Caenorhabditis elegans: one gene and its partner. The protein of the gene in region 2 interacts with the protein of the main gene of each other region in a pairwise test. Each region holds a gene or a part of one and is shown on either strand. Other genes may lie near its edges. The genes, in order: pqn-54 and mdh-1.

Region 1 (3,827 bases), 5.1 Mb from region 2:
TTAGACTTGGTTCTATGGTGACCGAGACATATCGATAGGAAACATTTTTTCGTAATATGCAACCATCATGTGTCATTTGAAAGTGTTTCATGAGGCTATGTCACTGCAAAATTTTAAGCGGCAAAGCTCTACTCTCAACCCCAAAAATTTCGATCTTAAATTGTTTCAGGCCAGTAGAATTGGTCCTGATTTTTTTTGTGCAAATTTTCAATGTTTTTTAGAACGGCTAGAAATAAGTTTACATTCTGGGAAATTTTTAAAAATTTTAAAAAATTTTTGAAAAAAAAATCTAAAAATTTCCTCAATCCACTCCACTCGGTTCAAAAATTTTTCAGATTTTTTGAAAAAATTTAAAAATTTTCAAAAATTTTCCAGAATGCTTACCTACTTTTAACCGTTTTGAAAAACATTGAAAGTTTGCAACAAAAAAAATTTGGAGCAATTCTACAGGCCTCCAAAGTAGTGAAGAAGTGCACTGTAACAGTTTCAGATCGATGCTAGAGGGGTTGAGAGTGGAGCTTTGCCGCTTAAAATTTTGTAGTAATATATCCTTATGGAACACTTTTAAATGGCACTTGTCTCGTTTTGAAGTCTGACATTAAAAAATAAAATAAAATAAAAACCTTTCCTTGAAAAGCGGCCATGTTATTTTTTAGTGCTAATCTAGTCAATAAACTGTGAGCCAGCTATAAGTTTTGTAGTCATTGTTCATTTTCTAGACAATAAAAAACCAAATAATGTAAATCAATTAAAATATCAAAGTTGTTTATTAAGTTCTTGTGAAACTAATTGGTTTCATTATATACAAAAACTTGAAGTCATTGTTCAGAGTCCGTTCACTTTCTTCTACAGCACTGTCCATTTCCGCATGGAGAGTAGTTAGCTTGGCAGGAGCACGAGTTTTGTGGGCTTTGTGGGCTCTGCTGGCAAGCCGTAGTCGCTGGCTGAGCGGCTTGGCAGGAGCTGGAGCACGAGTCCTGGCAGGCAGACTGGCACTGAGCGGCTGGTTGTTGTTGCTGAACGCATTGCTGCTGGCACGACTGCTCGCATTGTGGAGTACACTGGGAGGACTGGGCGACGGAGGATTGGAGAACGATTTGGATCACAGCTTGGGAAGATGCTGGGGCGGATGTGCTGGCATCGTATGGGTTGTACATTGGAGCTGGAGTCTGAGAAGTGCAGGAGTTGTCACAGGCTGGCTGGCAGGCTGGGGCGCAGTTGGCGGATCCGGAACCTTGGTTGTTGTTGTTGTATGGATTGTACATTTGGGTGTTGGTGTTAGAGTTCTGGTTGTAGACCTGTTGAGTGGCTTGAGCAGTTTGTTGGCAAATGTTGGAGCACTGGCTGTTACAAGCCGAATTGCACTGGTTAGCTGGCTGTTGTTGTTGGGTGCAGGATGATTGACACTGTTGCTGGCACTGTGGTTGGCATTGAGCTTGAGCCTGTTGGATCTCGAGTTGGATGTGGACTACTTGTGGTGCCTGAGTGGATGTGGCTGGAGCATCGCAGGCAACGTTGCACTGTTGCTGGCATTGTGGCTGGCATTGGGAAGCTGGTTGTTGTTGCTGAACACAGGTGGATTGGCACTGCTGTTGGCACATTGGCTGGCATTGGACGACTGGAGCTGGTGTGGTGGTGGCTGGTGGATTGTACATTGGAGCGCACTGGGATTGGCACTGCTGTTGGCATTGTGGCTGGCACTGGGCTACCGATGGTGCAGCCTGGCATTGTTGGGTGCAGCTCTGTTGGCAAGCTGGAGCACATTGAGTGGTTTGGACCTGAAAGTCTCTCTTTGGAGCTATAGCATAAGTTTGCTAGTAACCTGAACATTCTGGGTTTGTTGTGGTTGAGCGCAAGAGCATGATGGGGATTGTTGCTGAACTGGAGCAGATTGGCACGAGCACGATTGAGTCTGTTGAACCTGTTGGCACGAGCATTGGCTCTGCTGGGGTTGAGCACATCCGCATTGTCTCTTCTCACGAAGCACATTGCCCTGAAAATTAATATTCGTAGACTCAAATTTTTAGATCTTGCACAACTTACAGACACCACTAGGGCGCAGGCGAAGAAGGCAATGGCGAGGGAGGTGAAGCGCATGATTAGAGCCGAAAGTATCGGATGAGTATTTCCATTTGATTGTGGGCTTATATACCATCTCGCTTGAAACTATCCCAACCATCTTCCGCCTTCTCATGCCGCGCGGCAAACAATTTATCGCGTGAAAAAGTGTTCGGTAAGACGAGCAAAGATGAAAAAAAAAGAGACGGTGAGCAGTGCACTCGAGTGGCCTATTCAAATAATCTTTGATTGACAAGAGAAAAAATTCATGATGTATGTGCACCAACACTTTGTTGAACTTCCTGCCCGTTATCACAGAATATATAGAGGTTATCGCTAACATGGAAATCAGTAAGTGTGTCGCGGGCGATGGAAGTGCAGAGATTTCCAGTTTGATTCCTGTGACAATGACTTTTCAACAACCGAATAATCGACGAAACAGTGGCACCCTTTCGAAAACGAGCATATTTTTGTATTGTGCCTATATTTCGACATGCTTGGTGAGTGTAGAGGGAATTTAAAACTAGGAAGAAAAAAAAAGAAATTCGCATACTTTTATAAACTTCAAAATTGTTTTTTAGTTCAATGTGGAAAAACATGAACATTCAATTTTTCGATACTATTTACAGGAAGACAGGGCTTGGTCATTCTGTGTCTCTCTTTGTATGGACCTGATGGGTGGTATGAGAGTGGTTTCCATTGAGCAGCTTTTCGAGGGAGTCTTGCAAATGTTTCTCAGCGGATATTTAGGAAAGCATTTCGACGGGCTCTCGAGGAAACGGGGTACGGTAGACAACTAAACGATCCCGTGGTGTCAGCCTGCCTCATTGCGGTTCGATCTACGACAAATGGGAATATTTTACCAGAAAAATTGTGACGTCAGCACGCTCTTAACCATGCAAAATCAGATGAGATCTCTGCGTCTCTTCTCTCGCATTTTTCGAAGATCACAGCAAAATGGGACGTTCTGACTCCACGTGAACGATTCATTTTTACAAATTTCGATTACTGCAAAAATGATTTGTTCAAGTATCACATTGACCTAACAAAAACTACAATCAAATACTTATTTCGTGAGTATTTGTAAGAGAAAATCAAGTTTTCAATTTCAGCAATCATGACCGTCGTACCGTTGAACAATTTGAGTATTTGTGCTGCAGCTGCTCTTATTATCAGTGAGTTCTAATTTGACACTGATGTAGGTACTCGAAGCTAAAATATTTTAAGCTTGTCTGTCTATCGATGCCACGTCACCGTGGTACATAGTCTGCCTGGTTCTAGCAATGTGCATATGCGCGGTGAACCGGCTTTTCCTGAACGCGGAAAAGTTCATCACAGGCAGAGATTGGGTTATGGTACTCGGAAATGATGGTACACTGTCGAATATGAACGCAACTCTGTTGACATTGGATCAATGTACCAATGTTATTGCACCGTTAGTAACTGGTGTTAGTTCTGTGTTCGCTTTTTAATTCCAAAGTAAAAACAAACTAAGTTAAGGCTCTGGTGACCTGGGTTGGTCTTCGTGAAACAGTTGGAATATTTGGTATAGCCTCTCTTGTTTCAATGGCTTCAAAAACCATTTTCCTTAGAGCAATCTACATCTCCAATCCTCTGCTTCAAGTGAAGAAAGACAAGAAAGATGAAGCGCTAGACCCATTCGCCAATTCAAGGCTCAAAGAATCTGTGGTTTACACGTACTGGTGCCAGATCTCATTCCCAGCTGCATTTGGAATGAGTCTTCTATTCATGACAGTGATGGGATTTGA
Region 2 (3,795 bases):
ACTCAATAAGGACTGTGTTTTATAAATTGAGTAAAGTTATGTTAAAGAAAGAACTAAAACAAAATATTAAATTGAAAATAAAACTTGCAAAAACTTACAGTTCAAGAGGTTCCAAATTGCTCAAAATAATTTGAATAGTTTCGGAAGGTAATAGAATAAGACAATATCTCTTGGACTGAAAAATTATGTTCATACAGTATATGTGCGCATATTAACATATGTGTTTTTGTGAAATCTAATTTTTTAAATTCAACCCTTTTCTTGGTGAACTTTTCGAAACCTTTTACACACTCGTAATTTCGCGAAATTTTAACATGTCAGTTTAAAGACACATGCTGTTTTTTCTTAGGCATGATGGTCACATTTCTCAGGCATGATGGTCACATTTATTAAATGAAAAAAATACAGGAAAAAAATTGCGCGAGAGAAAGAACCGCCCATTTTTCCGGAGACTGCTTTACAGATTTTTTTGACATTTGGATTTGCTCTACCCGCAAATTTCTGAATTCTATCTTCGTTTCTAGTGTTTCGGTGATCATCAAGCCCACTTTGACATTTCTATTCATTTTACACTTTTTCCAGTGGTTTATGACGGTTTTTTCTATTGTTTTTTGCCTTTCCAAAAAAATTTTTTTCACTGCTACGACTTTAAAGGGGGACACATTTATTACGCGGAATGGTCTCGACACGCGCGGCAAATTATTAAAAATTTTTGGTGTGTGCGCCTTTAAGATTACTATATTAATTTTTCTGTCAAATCTTCATCGATTTTTCTCGTTTTCTCCCTTTTCTTCGGTTTTGACTGTTTCTTTTCTCAATTTTCTGCATTTTATGTATTAAATTTATGTTCAGGTGATCATTCATAACTGAACACTCATCAATGATCCACGCGTCATGTGCGAAATCGTTCTTTGAACTTTAACCGCGGTTAAAGTTTCCTCCGTTTTATAACCGCTACTTTGTCGCCGCTTATTTACAAATGACCTTTCTTCTCATTGCGCTTATAAAAGTTCTCTAAAACCTCGAGATTTGACGTGAAAGTTTTCATTCTACACTTCTCCGAGTAGATCTTTTTGTGCAGATTTTCACTTTTTTTTGCTCTTCTCTCTGATGACCTCGTGTCTTGGAGGGCGTATTCTCTTCGGCAGTTTACGTGACAAACAACAACTTTTCTGCCATTCTCACTCTCTCTTTTCACTTGTCTAGTTTACAGCGGTCGGCCTTGGTCATCGGGAATCTCCCAGTGATAATCATTTATTTGTTGCTTTGTCTGCTCTTTTGGTTTTGCGAGGACTCACTAATAATTCTGAAAATATTTAATGTTTCTATTTATTTTCAATTCTCTAAAATTCTCGATTTGAATTAGCGCCAACGAATTTTCCCATTAGAGCGCATTTTCTGCCTACTCAACATGGAGTTTTACGATTTTGTTTTCTGCATTTTTTCTCCTATCTTCGCGAAATTTTCTAATTTTACTCGGTGATTTTACAAATTCTTATCTATTTCGTGGATCAAATCAATACACGCTCTCGTTTCTCAAGTTCTGTTCAAAGTGCCATCGATTTGAAACGTTCGGCGCCGTAGGGTTTGTTGACAAGTTGAGAGTGCTTCGTTGGACAGCGAAACGAGAGAAAACCACGGGCGGCGCCAATAGTCTCTTCTGTTCACGTCATCTCTCGTTGCCTCGCTTCCTTAGCTGGACTATTATTTTTTTCTATTTGTTTGGTTCGTCTTCAATACATAGAAGTGTGTACCACAAAAATCTTTTACATCTTATCACTTCCAACTGTTATTTTATGATTCGACAACAATCTCTTTATCTGGTCAATCGTTTTTGTTGTTCTTTCTCTTTCATTTTCATTTTTGCTCCTCTAAAACGTGCGTTTCGGCAGTTTTTTCTCCGGACATTTTTTATTGAATTCTCGAATTGTCTGAATATTCTATTTGCTTCGATTCACACATTTCTTAGTGTAAATTGCTAAATTTTCAGAATGTCCGCCCCACTTCGCGTTTTGGTCACCGGAGCCGCTGGTCAGATCGGTTACTCGATCGTCATCCGCATCGCCGACGGAACTGTATTCGGAAAGGAACAACCAGTGGAGCTCGTTCTTCTCGACGTCCCACAATGCTCCAACATTCTCGAAGGAGTTGTTTTTGAGCTCCAGGATTGTGCTCTTCCAACCCTTTTCAGCGTTGTTGCTGTCACTGATGAAAAGTCGGCCTTCACCGGTATCGACTACGCTTTCTTGGTCGGAGCCATGCCAAGACGCGAGGGAATGGAGCGCAAAGATCTTCTTGCTGCCAACGTCAAGATCTTCAAGTCACAAGGAAAGGCTCTTGCTGAGTATGCCAAGCCAACCACCAAGGTGAGATCAGAATTCACAGTTAAACTTTCAATATTTCCATTACTTTCAGGTTATCGTTGTTGGAAACCCAGCCAACACCAATGCATTCATTGCTGCCAAGTACGCCGCCGGAAAGATCCCAGCCAAGAACTTCTCTGCCATGACCAGATTGGACCATAACCGTGCTCTTGCTCAACTCGCCCTTAAAACCGGAACAACCATCGGAAATGTCAAGAACGTTATCATCTGGGGAAATCACTCTGGAACTCAATTCCCAGATGTCACCCACGCTACCGTTAACAAGAACGGAACTGAGACCGACGCTTACGCCGCTGTCGGAGACAACGCTTTCCTTCAAGGACCATTCATCGCCACTGTCCAAAAGCGTGGAGGAGTCATCATTGAGAAGAGAAAGCTCTCGTCTGCAATGTCTGCCGCTAAGGCCGCTTGTGATCACATCCACGACTGGCATTTCGGAACCAAGGCTGTAAGTTTAATTATTTTAAAACTTGAATGAAGATTTTATTTTCCAGGGGCAATTCGTCTCCATGGCTGTCCCATCCGATGGTTCATACGGAATCCCACAAGGACTCATTTTCTCATTCCCAGTTACCATCGAGGGTGGCGAATGGAAGATTGTTCAAGGTCTTAGCTTCGACGATTTTGCCAAGGGAAAGATCGCTGCTACCACCAAGGAACTCGAGGAGGAGAGAGATGATGCTCTAAAGGCTTGCGATGATGCCAACATCTAAATTTTCCCCATAAATTATAACGATTTCCCAACCGCTCCCTTAAACTTAAAATGTAAAAAAAGAAGTAGGCCGTCTTGTCGTTTTTGTAAATGTATTATGTATTCAGTTATTGAACAATGAATTTATTGCATCTTCGGATCGAATTGTTTCAATCTATCTTTCGAAATAACTTGTGACTCGTTTCTGATTTCGTATATCTGTTTATTTCTGGAAGCTAGCAATCAATCTGCCAACGTGGAGGATATGGGTTTGCAAGAATAAAGAAGAAGACAAATCATCTGTACAGAAAGCAGGTTCTAGGCGAGAGAATCGCGAGAAGTAGCGAAATGAGGGTACGAGGAAGAGGCGGTGTGTTGACCATTCATTCCAGCAATCCTTATTCCTTCCGTGTTGGATAACGACCTGTCCCCAGGCGTTTCTATGGCTTTTTCCTCCCATTTTGATCGTTGAAACAGAGATGTTTGCTTTTTTAGAATTAAATTTATGCAACTTTTTAGACTGTGCACTTAAATAGAAGATCTAGAAATAATTAAACGAATTTTAAATGCATAGTCGCAGTAGTAATAGTAAATTGACTAAAGAAAATCATTTTTTAATTTTTAAACAATTTTTAATGAAAGTTTATCTCTGAATCTTTTGAATATCCCTTGTGTAAATTTGTACTTGACCAATTGTTCCAAATTTGTAAATATCAGTTT

What was found.
Region 1: the proteins of mdh-1 (region 2) and pqn-54 interact in a two-hybrid assay, tested with the Caenorhabditis elegans proteins (one large-scale study listed by BioGRID).

The regions. Positions count from the first base shown.
Region 1 is NC_003283.11:1,463,284-1,467,110, reverse strand, and holds pqn-54 (Prion-like-(Q/N-rich)-domain-bearing protein), read right to left. Parts: upstream 2,122-3,827; 5' UTR 2,098-2,121; coding exon 2,044-2,097; intron 1,994-2,043; coding exon 1,823-1,993; intron 1,779-1,822; coding exon 837-1,778; 3' UTR 751-836; downstream 1-750. Other genes in the region: fpn-1.2 (Solute carrier family 40 member), read left to right, coding at 2,466-2,558, 2,688-2,841, 3,171-3,233, 3,286-3,506, 3,559-3,827.
Region 2 is NC_003283.11:6,514,722-6,518,516, reverse strand, and holds mdh-1 (Malate dehydrogenase, cytoplasmic), read left to right. Parts: upstream 1-1,990; 5' UTR 1,991-1,991; coding exon 1,992-2,366; intron 2,367-2,415; coding exon 2,416-2,832; intron 2,833-2,878; coding exon 2,879-3,097; 3' UTR 3,098-3,234; downstream 3,235-3,795. Other genes in the region: F46E10.3 (F-box domain-containing protein), read right to left, coding at 99-193. UniProt on the Caenorhabditis elegans protein: Catalyzes the reversible conversion of (S)-malate to oxaloacetate in the cytoplasm where oxaloacetate is used for gluconeogenesis.